Macaca mulatta: one gene and its partners. The protein of the gene in region 2 interacts with the protein of the main gene of each other region in a pairwise test. Links are inferred from orthologs where the notes say so. Each region holds a gene or a part of one and is shown on either strand. Other genes may lie near its edges.

What was found.
Region 1: the proteins of REEP6 (region 2) and NDRG4 interact in binary tests that used the Homo sapiens proteins (3 or more experiments, as listed by UniProt). The two-hybrid records come from large-scale screens. The link is inferred for Macaca mulatta from reciprocal best matches to the Homo sapiens genes REEP6 and NDRG4.
Region 3: the proteins of REEP6 (region 2) and SNX15 interact in binary tests that used the Homo sapiens proteins (3 or more experiments, as listed by UniProt). The two-hybrid records come from large-scale screens. The link is inferred for Macaca mulatta from reciprocal best matches to the Homo sapiens genes REEP6 and SNX15.
Region 4: the proteins of REEP6 (region 2) and PTPN9 interact in binary tests that used the Homo sapiens proteins (3 or more experiments, as listed by UniProt). The two-hybrid records come from large-scale screens. The link is inferred for Macaca mulatta from reciprocal best matches to the Homo sapiens genes REEP6 and PTPN9.

What each region holds. Positions count from the first base shown.
Region 1 is NC_133425.1:54,073,416-54,079,347, reverse strand, and holds the start of NDRG4 (protein NDRG4), read right to left. Parts: upstream 3,487-5,932; 5' UTR 3,469-3,486; coding exon 3,231-3,468; exon of another isoform or gene 3,092-3,230; coding exon of another isoform or gene 3,076-3,091; intron 890-3,075; exon of another isoform or gene 1-889. UniProt on the Homo sapiens protein: Contributes to the maintenance of intracerebral BDNF levels within the normal range, which is necessary for the preservation of spatial learning and the resistance to neuronal cell death caused by ischemic stress.
Region 2 is NC_133424.1:2,176,333-2,181,991, reverse strand, and holds the start of REEP6 (receptor expression-enhancing protein 6), read right to left. Parts: upstream 3,588-5,659; 5' UTR 3,347-3,587; coding exon 3,232-3,346; intron 2,878-3,231; exon of another isoform or gene 2,767-2,877; intron 1-2,766. Other genes in the region: PCSK4 (proprotein convertase subtilisin/kexin type 4), read left to right, coding at 4,288-4,476, 4,737-4,841. UniProt on the Homo sapiens protein: Required for correct function and survival of retinal photoreceptors. Required for retinal development.
Region 3 is NC_133419.1:9,346,685-9,351,831, forward strand, and holds part of SNX15 (sorting nexin-15), read right to left. Parts: intron 3,887-5,147; coding exon 3,771-3,886; intron 3,675-3,770; coding exon 3,527-3,674; intron 3,217-3,526; coding exon 3,073-3,216; intron 676-3,072; coding exon 418-675; intron 1-417. UniProt on the Homo sapiens protein: May be involved in several stages of intracellular trafficking. Overexpression of SNX15 disrupts the normal trafficking of proteins from the plasma membrane to recycling endosomes or the TGN.
Region 4 is NC_133412.1:53,618,126-53,623,712, forward strand, and holds the start of PTPN9 (tyrosine-protein phosphatase non-receptor type 9), read right to left. Parts: upstream 3,466-5,587; 5' UTR 2,769-3,465; coding exon 2,706-2,768; intron 1-2,705. UniProt on the Homo sapiens protein: Protein-tyrosine phosphatase that could participate in the transfer of hydrophobic ligands or in functions of the Golgi apparatus.

The DNA of each region.
Region 1 (5,932 bases), on a different chromosome or scaffold from region 2:
AGGAGACCCTGAAATTCACATCCTCCGATTCCAAAACCCCTGCCTTCCTTGTCCTTGTTGCAGCAAGACCCCTCTGAGGGGCCTGGAAATGGCCTCGATAAGCATTCGTGATTTATGAAGCCTCCAGATGGACCCCAACAGCCTCCTCTTCTCCCCAGAACAAAGAGACATGCTGGGTCTGGGCACGACAACCCACGGTCTCCTTCTAGTCCCATATGTGAGGGGGTACCTGGCCTTCCCCACGATGTCAGAGCTGTAGGTGTCTGGCTGGAAGGGCCCCACCCCGAGGCCATGCCCCTCTCACAGGAACCTGAGACCTAAGTAGGGTCCCCCAGAGACACATCTCAGAGAGGCCTGGACTGGTGCGAGAACCCAGTGAAGGAACTGGAACACCCTGGGGGGAGGGAATCTGGAAACTGGAGCACAGCGGGAGGAGAAGGGGCCCCCAGCACCGTGATGGAGTGCACTGAGGAGGCAGCCTGAGGACGCCAGCTCCGCGACTCTCATCTACTGTCCGCCTGCCAGAAGCTGGACTTGGCATCTTGCACACACTCACACCTAATCTCCAAAGGCCCCAGCCAGCTGGGCACCACGACGATCCCATTTTACAGATGAGGCAAGTGAAGTGTGGAACAGCTATTAGACTGTCCTAAAGCCAGGCAGTTAGAATGCCATGGGACAACTCCCAGTTCAGGGCTCGGTTCTGAATCCAGCGCTGCCTCTTCTGAGAAATAGGAACGTGAGGAAGTCACTGACTTCACTGGCAAGACAGGCAAGATAATAAAATAGGAGAATGTGAAAAGTACACAGAACTAAATCGGTATGAGTTTTTTTTTTTTTTTTTTGAGATGGAGTCTTGCTCTGTTGTCCAGGCTGGAGTGCAGTGGTGCAATCTCGGCTCACTGCAACCTCCCTCTCCTGGGTTCAAGTGATTCTCCTGCCCCAGCCTCCCAAGTAGCTGGGACTATAGGCATGCGCCACCACGCCCAGCTGATTTTGTATTTTTAGTAGAGATGGGGTTTCATCATGTTGGCCAGGCTGGTCTTGAATTCCTGACCTCAGGTGATTTGCCTGCCTCAGCCTCCCAAAGTGCTGGGATTACAGGTGTGAGCCACTGCGCCTAGCCTTCAATATGAGTTTTTAAAATTCAGTAAAACAATTTCTGAAGGCTGATGTTGGGGCAGGGAGTTAGGGGCCTCTACAGAATTATCCTAGAGACATAGATGCTGAGCGGGCTGTGTGAGCCTAGCCTCAGTCAGCAACCCTCGAGCATTTGCTGTGTGCCACCACAATAAAGTGGCCACCTCCCAGACTGTGACCTGCTTGTCATCCAATGGGGGTGATGGGTCAAATCTCATAGATGCAGGAGAGCAGGGAGAAAGGAGGGTGGGGACAGATCCAAATGCTCTAGGGGCCAACCAGCCAGAACAGGTGGGGCCCAAGAGGTGCCCACCAGGGTCTAGGTCCCAACCACATGTGTCGCCTACACTATCTGAGCAAGCCTCACACCATCTCTTAGAGACAGGGGCCAACAGTTCCATCTTTAAGATGAGAGGGCTGAAGTCAGAGAGGTTAAGGAAAATGTCTGAAATCACACAGCTGGCTACTGATGGGGTTGGATTTAGAATCCAGATCTGTGAGAAAAGGAAGAGGACAGAGAGGAAAGGCTGTGAAGACCACAAAACAGCAACAGAGAGGATGGGCTGTCTCCCAGGGCCGGATTGCAGGTGCAATGGAAGCCAGTGACTGATGATAGTGACTGAGAGGGGCCTCATCCACCCTGGCCAGGGACTTAGAAAGTCCACCAGAATCCAGTGAGCCCATCTGGTGAGGGAAGAAGGGTCCTGACTCCTCTACCAGGAGATGAGGGAACAGTGCATGGGGTCTCCAAAGCCTAGACCCCTCCTTGAGCCCCCTACACATGTCTCCTGTGAGCATTTCTCATCCAGGCCCTTTGGGGGCAGGAAGAGGGGGAGGAGAGAGGAACCAGGAGATCCGTTCACCATGCAGGGCTCTAAAAACCCATGGTGGGGGCCGGGCGCGGTGGCTCACGCCTGTAATCCCAGCACTTTGGGAGCAGGAATCACATGAGATCAGAGGTTTGAGACCAGCCTGGCCAACACGGTGAAACTCATCTCTACCAAGAACACAAAAATTAGCCATGCATGGTCGCGTGCCTGTAATCCCAGCTACTCGGGAAGCTGAGGCAGGAGAATCCCTTGATCCTGGGAGACGGAGGTTGCAGGGAGCCGAGACTATGCCACTGCACTCCAACCTGGGTGACAGAGTGGGACGCCATCTCAAAACAAAACAAACAAACAACCAACCCATGGAACTGTAAGCCTTCCTAGGGGGTTAACAAGTTCAGCGGCCTGTGCTGTTCCCTTCCAAGCTGGGTGAGCTGGGCCTGCCTTAAGTGGGCTCCACAAAGAAAAAGTTGGCAAGGGATTGGAGGGGGTGCCAGCCCCGTGGCTAACTGGGCACAGCGCTGGCACTTCTGAGCACCCAGCCCGTTTCCAGTGTCCCAGGAACAGCCTGCACCTTCCCTTCTCTACAAGTCTGTCACGAGCTATTGCTGCTTTATTTATTTATTTTTTTGTAAAGATGGGGTCTCCCTATGCTACCCAGGCTGGTCTTGAACTCCTGGCCTTAAGCGATCCTCTGACCTCGGTCTCCCAAAGTGCTGGGATTACAGGCATGAGCCACTGCGCCTGGCCTGCTACTGCTGATTTAATAAAACCTCACCCCCACCCCCACCTTTTAGCCCCCTCCCCCCCAACACACACGCACATTCCAGGCCATTCAGCCTCCATACCTCTCCCGGATCAAGCCTCTCTCACAGCCCAGAGCATGGGCCAGTCCCTTGATCCTGAACCCATAATGCCACCTCCGTCTTCATTAACAGAAATTGTTTTTCGAGATCTTCAAAAGCTGCCCCCGACTCAGATTCCACCCTGTTTCCTGAGTGCACCCACAGCCTTGTAACAGGGCTCCTGGGCTCTGCTCCCTCATCGGCCATTAATGTCCTCGAAGGCAGTGATCAGCCCCCTCCCCCAAGTGTCGGAGGACACTTACTGGAATCTGTGCTCATCTGACATACATGGATGGAGCACCTACAAGTCCCAGGCCTGGAGGAAGCCGGGCTGCTTTCCTTTCCTCCTGTCTGGGTCTCTCCACACCGGGGAGAACACAGAAGTCACTCCTCGAATCCTCCCCTGTCCCTTTCCCACCTCCTTTTCCTGACCGTTCTCTCTTGCTCTCCAGCCACTGCCCCCTGGATGTGAGTTTCCAGCAGGGCAACTGATCACGTCTCCAGAGGGACTCCAAGGCTGAGGGTCCCCAGTTAGTAGGGTCCAATCTGGCTTCCCACTTCCCAGGCCACTTGGCCTCCGCTCCCAGCAAGAAACTTCTCCCCCCCCAGAGAAAGACGGCCCAGATTGTCACAGGGGGCAGAAATAAGAGGTTCATGGCGCGGGTCCTGCCAGGAGCCCACGGGTCCTTTCTTAAGAGGACAAGCGACACTGATTGGAGGGCAAGAGCCCTGAGCTAGCTTTCAGGGTCCTGACCCGAGCTCCGCTGGTCAGAGACCCCAAGGGGCCACCCCCTGACCGGTGCTCCTGCAGCCCGGACGCCGGCGCAAGGGACTCGCCACAGCCTCAAGTCCTCTCCCCGGGCCGGGCTCCGCACAGAAACAGGTAGCACAAAACTAGGAATCAGTGGGGATCCGCACCCCTTCCTGCTCGGACCCGAGCCGCCCCAGGCCCCGGCGGCCGCGCCCGGAGCCCGCTCCAACTCGGAAAGTGGCGGGCGGCTGCGGGGCAGACGGGCGGTACCTGTGAGCAGCTCCAGCCGGTGTCCCAGCACCTTCATCTCGGCGCCTGGCGCTGCCCGGCTCTGGGTGGCGGCGTCGGGGCAGCGCGCTCCGCCGAGCCGGGGAGAGGAGCGCGGGAGACCCGGAGCGGAGCGGCAGGAAAGCGCGGAGCAAAGCGGGAGGAGCAGCTCACAGCAAGGAGCGCTCTCCCGCCCCCAACGCCGCGCTCCCCCCTCCAAAACGGTTTAAAAAAATCCACCAATTGCATGGCCGCGCACCCCCAAAAGGCACCCGCCGCCACCTGGTCCGGGTGAACTCCAGGAGGCGGAGGGAGGGCGCGGGGTGGGTGCGGTGACACCGCGGGAGGGGTCCCCCGAGCCCGGCGCCCGAACAAAGAGACCCGCCGCCTCCGGGCGTCGCGGTTGGGGGCGCGCGGACGGCGGCTGGGTGTCCCCAGCGCAGCTGGGAAGGCGAAGAGGGAGAGCGGGGGCCGCGGGCAGGAGGGGGCGCCGTCCCTGCGGAGGCGAAATGTGGCGGGAGCCAGTGGGTGCGGGGCTCGCGGGGCTGGGGTCGTGCGCGGGACTGTGCTGGGTTGGGCGGGGACGCGCGCAGCAGCCGCGGCGGCGAGAGGAACGGGACCTGGGCGCAGGGGCTAGGGCGCCGCCGACTCACCGTGGAGATGCGGGCGAGACAGACGCGCAGGCGGGTAGCGGGGCCTCGGCGCCGCCGACGCGCGGGTGCAGGTGCGGGCAGCCGGGAGCCCCTCCGCGTGCCCGCGGCTGCCGGGGCGGAGGCCGGGCTGGGGGCGGTGCGCCGTGGGGGGCGTGCCGGCGTGGGTTTGGCGGGTGTGGGCGCTCGGCCAGCGGGGCGGCGCCCGACCTGGGACTGGCCCCGGACGGACCACGGTACCTCGCGCGTGGTTTCCGCCTCCTGCGCGGCTAGTGCGCCCGGTGGGCCGGTGGGCCGGTGGGCCGGTGGGCGGGCGGGGACCGCGACGCGGAGCCTGGGGGCACACCCTGATCGATCCGCGCCCCTGCCCACTTCTCACCCGCTCCGCCGCGCGGACTGTGCTGGGTGCGCTGCAAGGCCCTGCCCGCCCCTCCAGGCCCCCTGTGGCCGCGCGGCGTCGGGTTCCCGGGGGAGGGGACGGCGCTGCCTTAGTCTTTGTTTAGACTCCCGAGGGGAACCTCAGCCCTGCAGAGACATCCCTACCCCACCGCCCCTGCGCCTGCTGCTCCGCGCCACCCGCCGTCCCCGCCTGGGAACCGAGGGAGAAAAGCCGTGGGGGTCGGGAAGAACAAGGGGCTCAGGGGCCCTTGGGGCGTCGTCCCCCTCCCCCCGTTTTCGGAGCCCGAGGGTGCCCTTGGGGAACTTGTGCAGGAGTGGGGAGGGACATCCCCTAGCAAAGGTGTCCCGGGCCCTCAGGGTCCCACCCTGAAGATGGGGAGGTCCCTGCTCCCCTCAATTCACATCCATTACCTGAGCGGGAAAGGGAACATGGGGACCCGTGTCTTCCTCAGGCTCATCCTGCTCGGGACCCCGGGGCACTCCTCCCTCCTGCCACACCCCTCACCACCCTGCCTTTGGTCCCAGATGAAGTCCCACTCTGGGGAGTATGGAAATCTGATGGCCTGAAAAATTTTATTTGGGCAAGACAGCTCAAGACAGGACTCCTGGAGACCCGGGTTCTGTTCAGGCTCGGCCTGTGACTTTGGGCGGGGCTCTGCTCCTCCCTGGGTTCCAGCCTTTTCCATGCAGGTCATCTTGGAGGTCCTGAATGGCGGTGGGGTTGAGGGTGCAGAGGGGCCTTCAGGCTTCCGGGCCCTTCCGCAGACCTCTCTCTGGGCTGGTTTGCGGAGAGGCCCTGGCTTTTCTTTCCTCCATCTCCAGGGGGCTGTGGCCGTGAATTAACCCATCCACCAGCTGAGAAAGCTGGTAAGATTTTGGTGGCCCCAGGTGGGGCACATGTTCCCGCTTGGGTTACAGCTTTGTCCTTGGGTTACCCCTACAGCTTGGGGTGCAGTGTATAAATCACAGGAGGCAGCAATTTGGGTTCCTTGCTTTGCGGAAATCCCTGCCTCTCAGTTTCCTCCTTTGCAAAGGGGTGGAGGGAGGTCGGTG
Region 2 (5,659 bases):
AGATATCCCTAGACATCACCCAGTGTCCCTGGGGCAGGGTGGGGGGCAGTACTACCCCCCCCGTCTTGGAGGCAGCAAACCCCAGCATCTCGGTCCCCCGGGTGGAGGAGAGCCCTTTGGTTGGCTGTGCACTCACCAGCCGGCACTGAGCAAGGCTGTGGCTGCACGGAGCCTCAGTTTCCCCCTTGGTAAGTGGGAATGGTAATGGCCCCTGCCTCTTATGGTTTCAAGTTAACAGAGAGGGCTGGGCACAGTGGTTCATGCCTATAATCCCAGCACTCTGGGAGGTTGAGGTGGGTGGATCGCCTGAGGTCAGGATTTCGAGACCAACCTGACCAACATGGAGAAACCCCATCCCTACTAAAAATACAAAATTAGCCGGGAGTGGTGGCGCATGCCTGTAATCCCAGGTACTCAGGAGGTTGAGGCAGGAGAATTGCTTGAACCCAGGAGGCAGAGGTTGTGATGAGCCGAGAACATGCCATTGCACTCCAGCCTGGGCAACAAGAGCGAAACTCTGTTGCAAAAAAAAAGTAATAACAAGTTAACAGAGAGAACTCCTTTCTGCGCGTTTATTTTTATTCATTTATTTATTTTTGAGACGCAGCCTTGCTCTGTCGTCCAGGCTGGAGTGTAGCGGCACAATCTCAGGTCACTACAAGCTCCGCCTCCCGGACTCAAGCGATTCTCCTGCCTCAACCTCCTGAGTAGCTGAGCGTGCCACCACACCCAGCTGAATTTTGTATTTTTAGTAGAGACGGGGTTTCACCATGTTGGCCAGGCTGGTCTCAAATTCCTGACCTCAGGTGATCCGCCCGCCTCGGTCTCCCAAAGTGCTGGGATTCCAGGCGTGAGCCGCCGCGACCTGCCCTTCTCCACATTTATTAAGTGCCTTCAGGCAACAATAACACAGTCCCAGCAAGGAGGGTGTTCAGAGAAAAAGGTGTGTGTGTCCAGCTCAGCCCCAATCCTGAACCTGGCTCTGAAAAGAATGATGACGACAGCTGCATTTATTAAGCGCCTATTGTGTGCCAGGTTTTGTGCTTTCCCTGAATTATCTTATTCAGAACTGGGGGTGGGTGGGTGTTGCCCAAGGTCACACAGGGAACCCCCGTGCTTCAGAGAGCTTGGACAGCCTCCTTCCTCCTCCCCTGGAGCTGCTATCTGCAGAGTGAGATAGAGGCCGCTTCCGGACCAAAGGGCAGAGGCCCAAGTCCCTCCCAGCCCCTCCTACCTGCTTTAGTCTTTATCCACAAGCACCCGAGGTCACGGGTAGGCGGAGTCCCCCAGCTGGGAGGCTGTGTGGCCTCCCGGTCACTGTCTCCTCTGAGTTTCTTCGTATGTTACCCAGGGGTGTGGGATTTGTCGATTTAAATGAGGTGGGAGAAGGGGGATGAGGGAATGCTACCTCTCCCCAGGCCTGGCTTGTGGGGAGGAGTGACTGTCCCAGGGTGTCCCTCCCTTAAATCCCTGTTCCTGCAGCTTCAGCAACGGGAGGATGACCTTGGACATCAGAACTGTGGAGGGGGGCCCAGCCCCCACGATTAGCAGCAGATGGGACTGGGAGTGGGCGGGGTGGAGGGGTGTACGCCTCAGACACAACAGGCGCAGAGGCAGCCCCTGCCGCCCTGTGCCTCAGTTTCCTCTCTGGTGACACAGTGCCCCAGCCAGCCCCTCCCTGCTGCCTGCCTCCTGGGCGCTCTGTGACCTAAATTCCTGCCCACTGGCCCCAGGGATGTGGAAAGGGAGGGCAGAGGCCAGGGACCTGCTCCCGGGGGCAGGCACAGCCAGGCCATGCCCATGCCACCTGCTGCACTGCACATGGGACCAGGCACCTGGGGACCTCCAGGGTCTGGACACAGATTTCAGACTGTTCTCAGGCTGCCTGGCATGGGAACCCCCAGATGGTGGGAAAATGGAGGGGGGGACTGGACTCCGGGGATCCACCTGCAGAAGGTGCTCAAAAAAGTGGCACTGTCCTCTACCCAGAACACCCCAGGCCCAGATCAAGTCCTTTCAAGTCATTCTGCGGAGCTTCCTGGAAGAGAAGGCAGAGCCAGTGGGGCTGGGAGCAGTGGCTCCCATGTAAATCCCAGAGCTTTGGGAGGCTGAGGCAGAAGGATCGCTTGAGCCCAGGAGTTTGAGACCAGTCTGGGTAACATAGTGAGACCCTGTCTCTTAAAAAAGTTAACTTTAAAAAGTTTTAGGCCAGGCAAGGTGGCTCACACCTGTAATCCCAGCACTTTGGGAGGCTGAGGTGGGCGGATCACCTGAGGCCAGGAGTTCGAGACCAGCCTGGCCAACATTGTGAAACCCCGTCTCTACTAAAAATACAAAAATTAGCCGGGCATGGTGACCTGCGTCTGTAATCCCCGCTGCGCAGGAGGCTGAGGCAGGAGAATCGCTTGAACCCAGGAGGCAGAGGTTGCAGTGAGCTGAGATTGCACCACTGCACTCCAGCCTGTGCGGCAGGGCAAGACTCGATCTCAAAAAAAAAGTTTTAAAGGTGGGGAGAGAGGCATTTAAGGAGCGCTTACTACATGCTCTTGCTGTAGTTTTGGAAAGGCGAAGGGGCGCGGCGTCACCAAGGGTGAAAGGCCCGGAAGAACTGTAATGGAGTCACAATCGGGGTGCCTGGATCTCCCGCTCTGTGGGCCCCAGTCCAACCTCCCCACATCACAGCTGTCAGACAACCCAACTCCGTCTTAACAAATATTTACGCGCGGTGGCACTAAGCCATTGAGCGGGGCAAGGTGAGCTAGGGCAGGAGAGGAGGAGGAGAGGAGAGTCCTGAGCAGCCCCCCGGGACGGTCCGTTCCCCTCCCCGCCTGGAGCCTCCCCTCGGAAAAACGGGAAGATCTCCACTGTTGCAGCCAGGTCGGGGTCCACGGGGGGAGGGGGACGGCGAAACGTGCAGGACACTGGCATCCTGGCCTCTCCGGGGCCACTGGGCAACTGGAAGAACCGGACTTCGGCATGGCAGGCACCCAGCGCCCAGAAGGAGGCGGCGGGGGACGGCCAGGGATGGAAGCTAGAGAGGGGTGGCTCGGGAGCAGGGTCGCAGGGCGCGGGCAAGGGAGGAGTTGCGGGCGGACCTCGAAGTCCCGGTCACCCCGCGCGCTCCACGAGCAGGACCGGACCCCGTAGCCGGGGAGGGAGTCAGACCTGCGACCCCCGGGCCCATGGCCTCAGTGTGCCCGTTGGCGAAACGGGCTAGCGCCGACGGCTCACCTGCAGCCAGATACCGCTTCTCCAGCCCGGTCTTGGCCTCCAGCGCCCCCAGCACGTCGGTGACCAGGTTCCTTTGCTCCAGGAAGCGCTCCACGCGCTGGCTCAGGCCGTCCATGGCCCCGACGCGCCCGGGGTTGGCTGCTCGAGCTCGCCCGCGGACCCGCGCACCCACTCCGCTGCACGCGCGCCGCTTTCCCGCAGCCTGAGCCGCGCTGCTCCGGCCCGGCGCCGGTGTCCGCCCCCGGCCCCCCGCCCGGACCAATGGGAGGGCAGGGCGGACAAAGGAGGTGGGGCCTGCCCCGTCTCCCCCGCCGCATAGCCCTCCGCCCGCTGCCGCCGCTGCCCAGACCCCGCCGGGAGAGGGCGGGGCGCGCCGGCCCAGGGCACCGATTGGCCGGGCCAGAGCGAGACGTAGCTGATTGGAAGGGCGGCGTCAGGGGACGGGATTATTGGCTGCGACACTGAGGGGGTGGAGCCAGGGCGAGGAGAGGCGCGGGTGGGGGCGGAGCCGGTGGGTGGGGCTAAAGAAAAATCCGAGCCGATTGGAGAAACGGGACGCGATTCATTGGCGAGAGCAGTGGAGGGCGGGGCTGATCACAAAGGAGGCAGGGCGGAATGGTAGGGGCGGGAATGGGGCGGGGCTTATCGGGGGAGGCGGGATTACTCGAAAGAATGATTCTGATTAGCCCGGATAGGAGGCCGGGCTGATTCTCGAAGGAGGGGTGTGTTGGAAAGTGGGCGAGGCCAAAGAAAGGGTAGGACGCGTTACTGCAACAGTGAACCCGCTTCTCTGGGTTAGTCCTGTCGTTGTACAAATGGGAAAACTGAGGCTCCCGAGGGTGTGGGTCTGCGGGAGACGGGCAGGCGTGCGTCCCTCCCCCGCTTCTGTCAGATCTTCGCGCCCGTCTTGGCTGAGTAGCCGCAAGGCCCCCTGGGAGTCGAAGCCTTCCGCGTTGCTATGGAGCCGGGGGCTGAGAGGACGCCTGGGTCCACTCGGCGGTTTGGCGGGAGGGAGGGGCTTTGCGCAGGCCCCGCCCCCGGCCCCGCCCCGCCTCCATGCGGCCCGCCCCGATTGCGCTGTGGCTGCTCCGGGTCTTGGCCCTGGCCCTCGTCCGCCCCCGGGCTGTGGGGTGGGCCTCGGTCCGAGCCCCCATCTATGTCAGCAGCTGGGCCGTCCGGGTGTCTCAGGGTAACCGGGAGGTCGAGCGCCTGGCACGCAAATTCGGCTTCGTCAACCTGGGGCCGGTGGGTGGGACCGGGATGGACGGGAAGTGGGGGCGTGGAAGGGACTAGAGGACCCTAGACCCCGACAAGTGGGAGGGAGCCCACAAGGTCTCCTAAATATCAAGAGCCTCAGCCCACCCCTGCCTCAGCCAAGTTCAGCTTCTGGGACTCCCAGAGAGCACCTGGTGGGGAAGGACAAGAAAGGGGGCTGTTACCGGCCCTCGGGGGCTCCAGCAGGGGAGCCTGGTCCTATCGGTGCGGCCGCTTCCCCACATCCCCAGATCTTCCCTGATGGGCAGTACTTTCACCTGCGGCACCGGGGCGTGGTCCAGCAGTCCCTGACCCCGCACTGGGGCCACCGCCTGCACCTGAAGAAAGACCCCAAGGTGAGCCTGGCCTGGAGGCCACCGTCTCAGGGTCTCAGCCGCCTCCTGGGGCCACTAGCCATCTTCTGTGGTTCTCGTGGTTGTTATGAACAGCTGTGTGCTTTCTGTGGCTCAGACCCACCTGGACCACAAGTCTGTACAGCAGGAGGAGGGAGGGAGACCCAGATACGGAAATCATGGCGCCTGCCAGGGCGTGGTACACAGTGGTCACCTCTTGCCCTTCCCCTCCCTCCTCTGGGTCCCAGGGGCTCTGGTAAGGAGGAACAGATGGAATGCCTTCCCCACCGTCTAGGTCATAGGATGGAGGGAAGGGGATTTTACAACACAGGAATGGGTTCCAAAGAGTAGGAGCCTTAAAGTCACCCAGTGGCCCTCAGGACGCAGTGTCCGGGTGCTCAGAAAGGGGCCTGGGTCCGATCGGGCTGGGCCCTGTCTAGAAAATGCCTGAGATGTCAAGCTGAGGGGTTGAGATGGAGCCTTGGAAGCCCTCGGAGGCCAGGAAGTGCCTTGAACAGGACTGGACAGCTGCCTGCTTATAGCACTGGGAGGGAAAGCAGTGGCCGGTTCCTGATGTGGTTTGCAAGAGAGAAGCCAGGCCTGGTGTGGTGATTCATGCCTGTAATCCCGGCACTTCAGGAGGCCAAGGCAGGCAGATTATTTGAGCTCAGGAGTTTGAGACCAGCCTGACCAACATGGCGAAACCCCGTCTCTACTAAAAATACAAAAATTAACTGGGCATGGTGGTGTGCGCCTGTAGTCCCAGCTACTTGGGAGGCTGAGGTAGGAGAATCGCTTGAACCCGGGAGGCAGAGGTTGCA
Region 3 (5,147 bases), on a different chromosome or scaffold from region 2:
TTGGGAGGCCGAGACGGGAGGATCACGAGGTCAGGAGATCGAGACCATCCTGGCTAACACGGTGAAACCCCGTCTCTACTAAAAATACAAAAAATTAGCTGGGTGCGGTGGTGGGCGCCTGTAGTCCCAGCTACATGGGAGGCTGAGGCAGGAGAATGGCGTGAACCCGGGAGGTGGAGTTTGCAGTGAGCCAAGATTGCGCCACTGCACTCCAGCCTGGGCGACAGAGCAAGACTCTGTCTCAAAACAAACAAACAAACAAACAAACAATAAAGAAACAAAAATCTGCCCAGGTTACACAGCTGGTCAGTGAGGATCAAAAGGGCTCCTGCTCTGTGAATTGCTTGCTTTTTGCTCCCTTCATCACTGCCCCACCTGGGACCCAGGCCTGACCCTCCACCCTCAGTCCCTACTCACCGGGGACTCCCTGAAGCAAGACGTGTACACCATCTCGGTAGCCCTGGAGCGCGGCAGCATAAGCGCCTGCCTTCTCATCCCGCAGGGCCTGGGTGATGAGATCTGTGGCCTGGCTTAGATAGGCAGGGGTGGGCCCTCCTTCCCCGTCCTCTTCCTCCTCCTGCCCTCCTGGCTCCCAGGGTTCCTGGTCCAGCCTTGCTGACTCCACCTCCATCGTTGCCAGCTCAGCCACATGGGTGGGGCTGGGGGCTGCGCCTTCTGCAATTAGAAAGGGAGGACTCAGACCAGACTAGCCCTTCTTTTCTCAGGCCCTCTGCCCAACCCAAGACCTCTTTTGTTCATCAGGGTATCAGCCTGTCCCCAGTAGAGGGGACCAAGGCCAGAGCAATCCAGAAGTCGTCTGTGGATCAAAAACTGGCCATGATGTATTTGATAGATAGGGTTCATGTGCTTCTGTAAAAACAGCCTTACCGCCGGGTGTGGTGGCTCACACCTGTAATCCCAGTATTTTGGGAGGCCGAGGTGGGCGGATCACGAGGTCAGGAATCGAGACCATCCTGACTAACATGGTGAAACCCTGTCTCTACTAAAAATACAAAAATTAGCCGGGCATGGTGGCGGGCACCTGTGATCCCAGCTACTCGGGGAGGCTGAGGCAGGAGAATGGCGTGAACCCGGGAGGCGGAGCTTGCAGTGAGCCGAGATCGCGTCACTGCACTCCAGCCTGGGCGACAGAGCGAGACTCCGTCTCAAAAAAAAAAAAAAAACAACAACAATAACAAAAAAACACAGCCTTACCTTCCTAATTATGTCATTAGGTACACACTCACTTTAGTTTGTGAGCTCTGGGTCACTGGTCCTATTTCCCTCTTGACTCCAGTTGACCTAGAAATCCAAAAATCCCCTCCAGAAAGTTTCCCTGAAGAATGCTAGGCCAACAACACCAGGCTGAGGGTAGAAATGCTCCAAGCCTTGGAATAATCTTAGAATAGGAGACTTCGAGAATCTCAGGGGTTTTCTGAAGCCTTGCAGCTCCAGGCTCTGGGGACTCTCCCCATGGGCTGAGTGAGTCTCACTGGAGCTGCGTGTGAAGGGTCTTGAAAAGATCCTGGTTGGACAGTTGCTCATGCCTATAATCCAGCGCTTCAGGAGGCCGAGGTGGGAGGACTACTTGAGTGCAGGAGCTTGAGACCAGCCTGGGCAACATAGTGAGAGCTTGTCTCTAGAAAAAATCAAAAACTTAGCTGGGCGTGATGGTGCATGCCTGTGGTTCTGTCCCAGCTATTCGGGAGGCGGAGGTGGGGGGATCGCTTGGGCCTAGGAGGTAGAGGCTGCAGTGAGCCACGATCACACCACTGCCCTCTAGCGTGGTGACAGAGCCAGACCCTATCTCAAAAAAAAAAAAAAAGAAAAAGAAAAAGAAAAAAAAGAAAGGAAAAAAAAAAAAGAGAAAATAGAAAAGCTCCTGCCCAGGCAGGCGCTCAGCTGACACAAGGACAGAGCACTTGGATGCCTGCCACCCAGAGGCCAGACACAACAGCCCTGTGACACCAACACTGCCTTTCCCTCCCATTCCTTCTTCCCACTCCCCAACCCTGGAGAGGCAGTAGCAGGAACAGGAGGAAGCAGAACGAGAAAAGTGAGAGGCAGGGCACTTTGGCTCATACCTGTAATCTCAGCACTCTGGGAGGCCGAGGAGGGTGGATCACTTGAGGGTCAGGAGTTTTGAGACCAGTCTGACCAACATGAAGAAATCTCATCTCAACTAAAAATACAAAATTAGCCAGGCACCATGGCGTGTGCCTGTAGTCCCAGCTACTCGGGAAGCTGAGGCCAGAGAATCGCTTGAACCCGGGAGGTTGCAGTGAGCAGAGATTGCGCCACTGCACTCCAGAATGGACAACAGAGTGAGACTCTGTCTCAGAAAAAAAAAAAAAAGAATAACAGACATGGGCTCTCGCTATATTGTCCAGGCTGGTCTTGAATTCCTGGGATCTCCCTGCCTCAGCCTCCCAAAGTGTTGAGATTACAGGTGTGAGCCAATGTGCCAGGCCTTGGCGAATTTTAGAATGAAAAACTCCAGTGCCTCAGAGCTTGGGACTGTCAAGTCCCAGGATCTCACAGCAAGAAGGTGCCCAGGACCCTAACCTCCATCAGGGGGCCCTTCAATCTCCGGCATCCCCAAATGCCAGTGGCTCCAGGCCCCCAGAGGGGTTTCCCTTTGCAGCTGCTCTTTGAGCTCAGAACTCACTTCCATTGACCAGCAGGCTTCTTGCCTTCAGGATCTGCAGCCAGACCCTGGCCAGCCAGGAAATCCCACCACGAGCTTACAGCGAAGGAACTAAAATGTCCCAGAGCAGTGTGACCCGGCTCTTTCCAAAGCCTTCTCAGTGAGATGGCCCCAACGTGGGAAGTGCCTCCTTTCCTTCCTCATGGCTACTTGTTGCACAGGTGCATCCAGCACACCACACCACGAGCCCTGGCACGGAGCTGCTCATTCTCACTGAAGCTGCTCTTGGTCCACAGGGCAGCACTACTGAGGGGACGTCTTTCCCAGATCTGCGCAGGCACTGAGCAGGCTAGTGGGGCTCTGCCCTCCTCCCTGTCCTAAGGATGTCCTGCCCTGGCTCCTTCCCGGCTGACCCAGCTCATTACCTTCTTTGGAGAAGGGGTCGAAGAGGGCCAGCTCAGCCTCGGTGAGGGGGACTCGGGCAGGGGAACCAGACGCTTCCTCGGTGCTCTCACAGTTAAAGAGAAGATCCAGGGCCTCCTGGGCAGGGCTGGATGGTGGGGGGTCCACTGAGGAAGAGATAATTGGGGTCATGAATACCCGCATTTATTTCTCAGCTTTCAAAATGGAATTACTCTCTCTCTAAACCCTTGCAGCAACCATGGGCATAGACAAGCCCGTTATTAGGGTTTATGCCCATTTTACAGATTAAGAAACTGTAGTGCAGAGAAGGAAAAGGACCTGCCCAAAGTTCCTCAGCCAGTCAGTGATAGACCTGGACACACGCCCATTTCTCACTAAGACCACTGAGGAGTGAGTGTGGCCCCCTCCCCACTCTGTACCCTCCAGCCTTGGTTCCCTCCTCCCACCCTGATGTACCTGGCACCTCCAATTCCTCAAGGCCCCTCCTTTCTGCAGGGAGCGGCTGGGGTAGCCGGGGGTCATCAGGGGGCGGGGTGGGGATCAGAGGGGGTGGCAGGATGTGCAGGTCCCTGGACATCTCCGAGGGTCGGGTCACCTCCCCACCCTGCAGGACAGAAAGATCAGCCATGGGGAGTCATGGGGTGCAATCTGGTGGGTGGGTAAGTGGCCCAAGTTCTGGTAAGGTGGAAGGTGCACATACCCTGAAGAACTCCTTGAGCTGGGGGCTGTTGTTGAGCGCAGGTATGTGCACGGTGAAGCGAAGCAGGTCCTCTGCCCCCTTTCGCCGCTCCTCGATCACTGAGGCTTCAAATCGGCCTACAGCCCCCAGGACAAGGAACAGGGGAGAGTGGCGGTGACCTATAGGGGCTTCTGCCCTAAGGCCACTTTTCCTGGTCCTGCCTGAGATGCTCTGAGCAACTCACTGCCCTCCTACCCCTTCTCCCAGGAATCTTCTCTGGCTCCTCCTGGGGTGAGGGAGGGGCTTCCAGGACAGATCAATTTCCCTATTCATTCATTTGCCAGATGTTTACTGAGCACCTACTATATGCTAGACTCAGAAGGTGAACAGGGGAGGAACAAGTCTCTGCCCTTGTGAGTATCACATCCTACACAGGGGGAGCTAGGTAGTTAACAAGAAACAAAAACATTTCTGATGGCTTTGATCTAATGAGGAGAAAAGTAAGGCTCAGAGAGGGAAAGTGACTTGCCCAAGGTCACACAGCAAGTAGCCCCCATTTGTTTTTTGAGACAAGGCCTGGCTCTGTTATCTAGGCTGGTGTGCAGTGGCACAATCTCAGCTCACTGCAACCTCTGCCACCTGGGATCAAGCCGCCCTCCTGCCTCAGCCTCCCAAGTAGCTGGGACTATAGGTGCACACCACCATGCCTGGCTAATTTTTGTATTTTTTGTAGAGATGGGGTTTTACCATGTTGCCCAGGCTGGTCTTGAACTCCTGAGCTCAAGTGATTACCTTGCCTTGGCTTCCCAAAGTGCTGAGATCACAGGTGCGAGTCACAGTTTCACTGCTCTGTCCTAGGTATTATGCAGTGCAGGCTAACTCTGGTCCAGTTACTGTGTGGCCATTCTGTGGTACTTCCCCACTGGCCTGGCATAACCTGACAACAGCAATCTTTCACCTTGCCTCAAAAGAACAAAAGAACATCTTGGCCAGGCGTGGTGGCTCACACCTATAATCCCAGCATTTTGGGAGGCCAAGGCAGGTGGATCACTTGAGGTTAGGAGTTCAAGACCAGCCTGGCCAACATGGTGAAACCCCGTCTCTACTAAAAGTAAAAAAATTAGGTGTGGTGGCGCACACTACTTGGGAGGCTACTTGGCTACTTGGGAGGCTGAGGCAGGAGAATCACTCAAACCTGGGAGGGCAGAGTTTGCAGTGAGCTGATATCATGCCACAGGACTCCAGCCTGGGTGACAGAGTAAGACTCTGTCTCAAAAAACAAAAACAAAAACCAACAACAACAAAGAACATCTCACGTGAGTACGCAGACGCGAGCAACTGTTCAGCACTGTCTAATACAGATATGAGCTACATATGCAATTTTACATTTTCTAGCAG
Region 4 (5,587 bases), on a different chromosome or scaffold from region 2:
GAGGCGGGCGGATCACAAGGTCAGGAGATGGAGACCATCCTGGTTAACACCGTGAAACCCCGTCTCTACTAAAAAATACAAAAGATTAGCCGGGCATGGTGGCGAGCGCCTGCAGTCCCAGCTACTCGGGAGGCTGAGGCAGGAGAATGGCATGAACCCGGGAGGTGGAGGTTGCAGTGAGTCAAGATCGTGCCACTGCACTCCAACCTGGGCAACAGAGCAAGACTCTGTCCAAAAAAAAAAAAAAAAAAAAAGTATCCTTGGCCGGGCACAATGGCTCAGGCCTGTAATCCCAACACTTTGGGAGGCAGAGGCGGGCAGATCACGAGGTCAGGAGATCAAGACCATCCTCCAACATGGTGAAACCCCGTCACTAGTAAAAATACAAACATTAGCTGGGCGTGGTGGGCACCTGTAATCCCAGATACTCCCGAGGCTGAGGCAGGAGAATCGTTTGAACCCGGGAGGTGGAGGTTGCAGTGAGCCGAGATCACGCCATTGCACTCCAGTCTGGGCAACAAAACCCAAACTCCGGCTGGGCGCGGTGGCTCACAACTATAATCCCAGCACTTTTGGAGGACAAGGTGGGCAGATCACGAGGTCAGGAGTTTGAGACCAGCCTGGCCAACATGGTGAAACCCCATGTCTACTAAAAATACAAAAATTAGCTGGGCATGGTGGCAGGCGCCTATAATCCCAGCTGCTCAGGAGGCTGAGGCAGGAGAATCATTTGAACCCTGGAGGCGGAGGTTGCAGTGAGCCAAGATCAGGCCACTGCACTCCAGCCTGGATGACAGGGCGAGACTCCGTCTCAAAAAAAAAAAAAAAAAAAACGAAACTCCAACTCTAGAAAAAAGAGAGTACTCTTATGTGACATTAAACTAGAATATGATAACATCAGGCATTACCATAATTAGAACTATACTGCTTTTTTGTTTTAATATTTTGAAATGCTTGTAAAAAATAACATTTTGTAGGAAAAAAAGAGATAAGATTTTAAAAACACACAGACACATAATCTCTTGCCTTTAATAAATATTTTGCCATTTCCATCCTAGTCCTTGTTAATGCCCATCACATTCAATTCAGGGTAAAAAATAAGGTTTTTACTAGTTAAACACATTTGTATATGTGTATGCACTATATACAAAGTAAAGCCAATATATGTCAATACTATCAATACTTTAATATTTACTTTTCCTGGTTTTAGTTTTCAAATTTGCAACGGATGCTATTTGCATAGAATACTGATGCCTTTAAGTCTTAAAAACAGAAATCTGCCTGACCCAAGAAAAAGGATGAAAGAAAGAGATTTGTCCCTTTAAAATCAGCCAACACGTCCTATGTTAGTACTGAAGTACTTTCCAATTCTGGCAGGATGGGCTCCATGGCCACCTGCTTGCACTAGGGCCTGACTAGCATTTTATTAACATCCAACTGCAATTACCAGGACATTCATTACCACTGCTTGTACAAAGCAGAATTCTCTTTAAATTTTTTTCCCATACTGATTTCATCACCAGGTGTCAAAAGGCAAAACCGTGGCCTGAGGCCAAATAGAAAAATGTCATCTCTACAAATGAGGAGAAAAGACAAGGACTTTAAAAAATCAGGTCAACAAGCCCATTAGCCAATAATAGTTTGTAAAACTAGACTGTCTTCACACTAGAGGCTGTGCTAGCAAATGTGGTCCTTGGAAACAACGGCTGTAGAGCTTGAAATGGGTTGCCAGCATGGTTTGCCTTTTTCGTTTTTCATGTTTATTTTTATTTTTTTATTTATAACATGGAATCAGACTATGACTATAATGGAGCATAGCTATGGCGGGGTATAGGCACTGCCAAGGAAGAGACAGCGAAAAGCCCGTAGGGTTCCCAATCTAAGCTAGCAGACCTTCCCATCTTCCTCAGGAGTGGTCCCTGTCTCTGCAGCTGGAATGTGCGGGAGGGAAAGTTACAAGGGCCCCCAAAATGAGACAGCAAAACACTTCCTTCTGAGAACTAAAGGTCATAGGCTTTTAAGGAACAATAGAGCTCAATGTAAGCTTCAGAAAGATGATGACAGTCAGATGAGACGGGGGTAGGGAAGCAGGGGTGAGGAGATGCTCCCCGTCTGGGATAGCTGAATAGGAGAGTCAAGGCCAGGAACTTTAGAAGCACGAGAAGGGCTGGATCTTCCAGAACCTGCCCCAGTGGGCCTGAGAAACCTAAGAGGCTCCTCTGAAAATCTAGGGCATCTATGCATCCAATACTCTCAGCCCTCTCCTCGGGAAGGGAGATAATCCCCACAGGAAGCACCCCCCAAACTGGGGCTTTTCCTACCCTTCAAAAGCCACAAACCCTCACGGAAAACATTTACAAGGGAGTGGAAAGGCCGGGGGCAAGCAGCGGTTCTGCAAACCTCAGGAAGGAGGCCCCTGGATCCAAAGAACTTTGCCCCTGGAATGGGGGGTGGGGTGGGGAGGGCACCGTCTGAGGCCCGTAAGCCTCGGGGAAAGAAGCTGCAGGAACTGGAGCAGGGTCCCGTGGGTGCACTGACGAGGGGGTGGCGGCCTGGGGCGCGGTCGCCGGTGAGGGAGGCCCGCGGGCCGGGCACGGGGGCGCTGCGGGCCCGTGGCTGCAAAGAGCCGGGGCTTGGGAGGCAGAGGCCGGCGTAGGCCTCGGGGGCCCGGACACACCCACCGTGGCGGCCTCGGGCCCGCTTACCTGCTCCTCCTCCGGGGTCAGCTCCGGCGCCATGTCGGGCCGGGGCGCGGTCGCGGGCTCCATCCCCCAGCCACCGCCGCCGGGCGGACAGAACTCGCTCGCGAGCGCGGGAGCCCGGCACGCTCGGCCTCCGCTTCCGCGTCCCCGCGCCTCAGCAGCCCCGGGCAGGCTCGAGCATGGTGGGGCCGGCCAGGGCCCGGCGCCCGCAGCAGCCGCAAACGCCGCTTCTGCTTCTTTAAGAAAAATCTCTCCGAACTGCCCCTCTCTTCCGGGAGGAAATCCTTTTTTATATTATTCGCTCCTTTCCTCACACTCCCCCTTATCTCCTGGGGAAGAAAAAGTGCAGGCGAAGAGCTAACAGCCGCTCGGGATTTAAAAGGAAATCGGAAATCAGGAACTTTTAGAGCCGGGAGCGAAGGGTCGGCGGAAATTTCACGAAGGCCGCCGGCCCCCTCGGCGCCCCGCTTCCTCGGCCGCACTCCCGCTTCTCCACAGCGCCACAGCACTCGGGGCCGCCCAGCCGGGCCGTCCTCGCGGACGCTGGCCCTGCGACCTGCGCGGCTGCCTCAGCCAGGCTCCTTGCGGGCGGCCGCAGCGAGAGGGAGGGAGCGAAGAGGGAGCGAGGGAAACGCGCCCCCCTCCTGGCTCACGGCCAACGCTGCGGCCGCCCCGCGGCCGCCCGAGCCCCCCGCGGCTCCATTGAGAAACTGAGCGTCTCATTCACAAGCTGGTGGCGAGGAGGGCCCAGCGGAGCGAGGACGCCGTCCGGGAGGGGGAGACAGAGAGGAGCCCGGGCGGGGGAGGGGACCCGGGCGGGGAGGGGACCCTAGCAGGACGGAAGGCGACTCGACTGCGGGAGGGAGGAAAAGGAAGAAAAGAGTGTATTTCGTGAGGCTCAGATCTTCGGAGGAGGAGGAGAATACATTCGTTTGCAAATTATCTGCTGACTGGCACCTCTCCTGGGGTTAACTTGCCGCTGCCACCTACGCGTGAGAAACCCACAATCCTCATCTATTTGTCGCTTGCAGCCTGAAAGACCCTGGAAAGGTTGCCTGCCAGGCCAGGAAGCTTAGGTGGAAGGAATCGCACCTGCCTCCCTCTCTCTCCCTCCTTACTGGCTGTATCCTGTAATTCTTCTCCAGTGTAGTTAATGTTAATCCCCCACAGAAACATCAGACTCCGAACCTCATTCAGGAATGACGCGGCCTTTGCAGACCTTTGATTTTCACTAGGGCAAGTGCAGCAAAGGATTCAGGATTAGGTGTACACTCTTGGAATCATTTGGGGAGGAATGGGGCATAGAGAAGGCAAGGCTGGGTCTAGTATGTTGTTGCATTATTCCAAGCCAAAGATAAATATTCCAAAGGGACTCAGAGAACTCCACAACTAGTTCCAAGGCTGAAGCCCTGGAGCCAGTCCTGTGAGAGACCCAAAGGAGGGGCCTTCACACAACAGGAGGGTGCTGTGAGTTGTGATGCTCCCACGATTTTTTTTTCTTTTTTTTTTTTTTTTTTTTTGAGACTGAGTCTCACTGTGTCGCCCAGGCTAGAGTGCAGTGACGCCAACCCGGCTCACTACAACCTCCGCCTCCCGGGTTCAAGCGATTCTCCTGCCTCAGCCTCCTGGGCAGCTGGGATTACAGGTGCGCACCACCACGCCCGTCTAATTTTTGTATTTTTAGTAGAGACAGGGTTTCACCATGTTGGTCAGGCTGGTCTCGAACTCCTGACCTCGTGATCCGCCCGCCTCGGTCTCCCAAAGTGCCAGCATTACAGGCAGGCGTGAGCCACCGCGCGCCCGGCTTTTTTTTTTTTTTTTTTTTTTTTTTTTTTTTTTTTTTTTTTTTTGAGACGGAGTCTCGCTCTACCGCCCAGGCTGGAGTGCAGTGGCCGGATCTCAGCTCACTGCAAGCTCCGCCTCCCGGGTTCACGCCATTCTCCTGCCTTGTGATCTGCCGGCCTCGGCCTCCCAAGGTTTCTTTTTTTGTTTTGTTTTGAACAGAGTCTCACTTTGTTGCCCAGGCTGGAGTGCAGTGGCGTGATCACAGCTCACTGCAGCCTCAAAGTCCTGGGCTCAAGCAATCCTCCTGCCTCAGCCTCCTGAGTAGGTAGGACTACAGGTGCACACCACTGCACCTGGCTAGTTTTTTTTTTTAATTTTTTGTAGAGATGGGGGTCTTGCTATGTTGCCCAGGCTGGTCTCAAACTCCTGGTGAACCGCCTTTGCAAAATTATAACTGAGGATTTTATGACAGTGAAAGAAATCAGACCTGACTCTATCTTGCTTCTAACCCTTAAGCTGTCCTTGTTCATTCCTGGGCATAGGCCGAACTAACTTGGGGAAGGAACTCAGTTCATGGTTTGACTCTGAAACAAAATTGATAACAGCCCTTCCCGAAAAGACCTCCTTCTTCCCTGGGGTCCAGTCTGCCTTTGCAAGATGAACAAATTAAGCTACAAAGATTAGAAATTACAATTTAGGGGTCATGCAGCCTTGGGCTCCAAGAGTCTAAACCTCCCCAGATTGCTCCTGGGGATAACATCACTATTGTAAAACCTGAGATCAGTGCTTGAGATATTTTGCAGACCCTGCACCGGATGGATCAGCTGATACCACACAGACCAGTAATCTGGCCCAAAGAGGTCTGCCATCTCAACCAGGAACAGAAGACAGCAAGAAAAACTCATTTCAACTCCCTATGATTCCATCCCAAGCCTGACCAATCAGCACTCCCCACTTCCAAATTATCTTTAAAAACTCTGATCCCTTAATGCTCCAGGGAGACTGATTTTAGTAATAAAACAACTACAGGCCAGGCACGGTGACTCACGCCTGTAATCCCAGCACTTTGGGAGGCTGAGGCAGGCGGATCATGAGGTCAA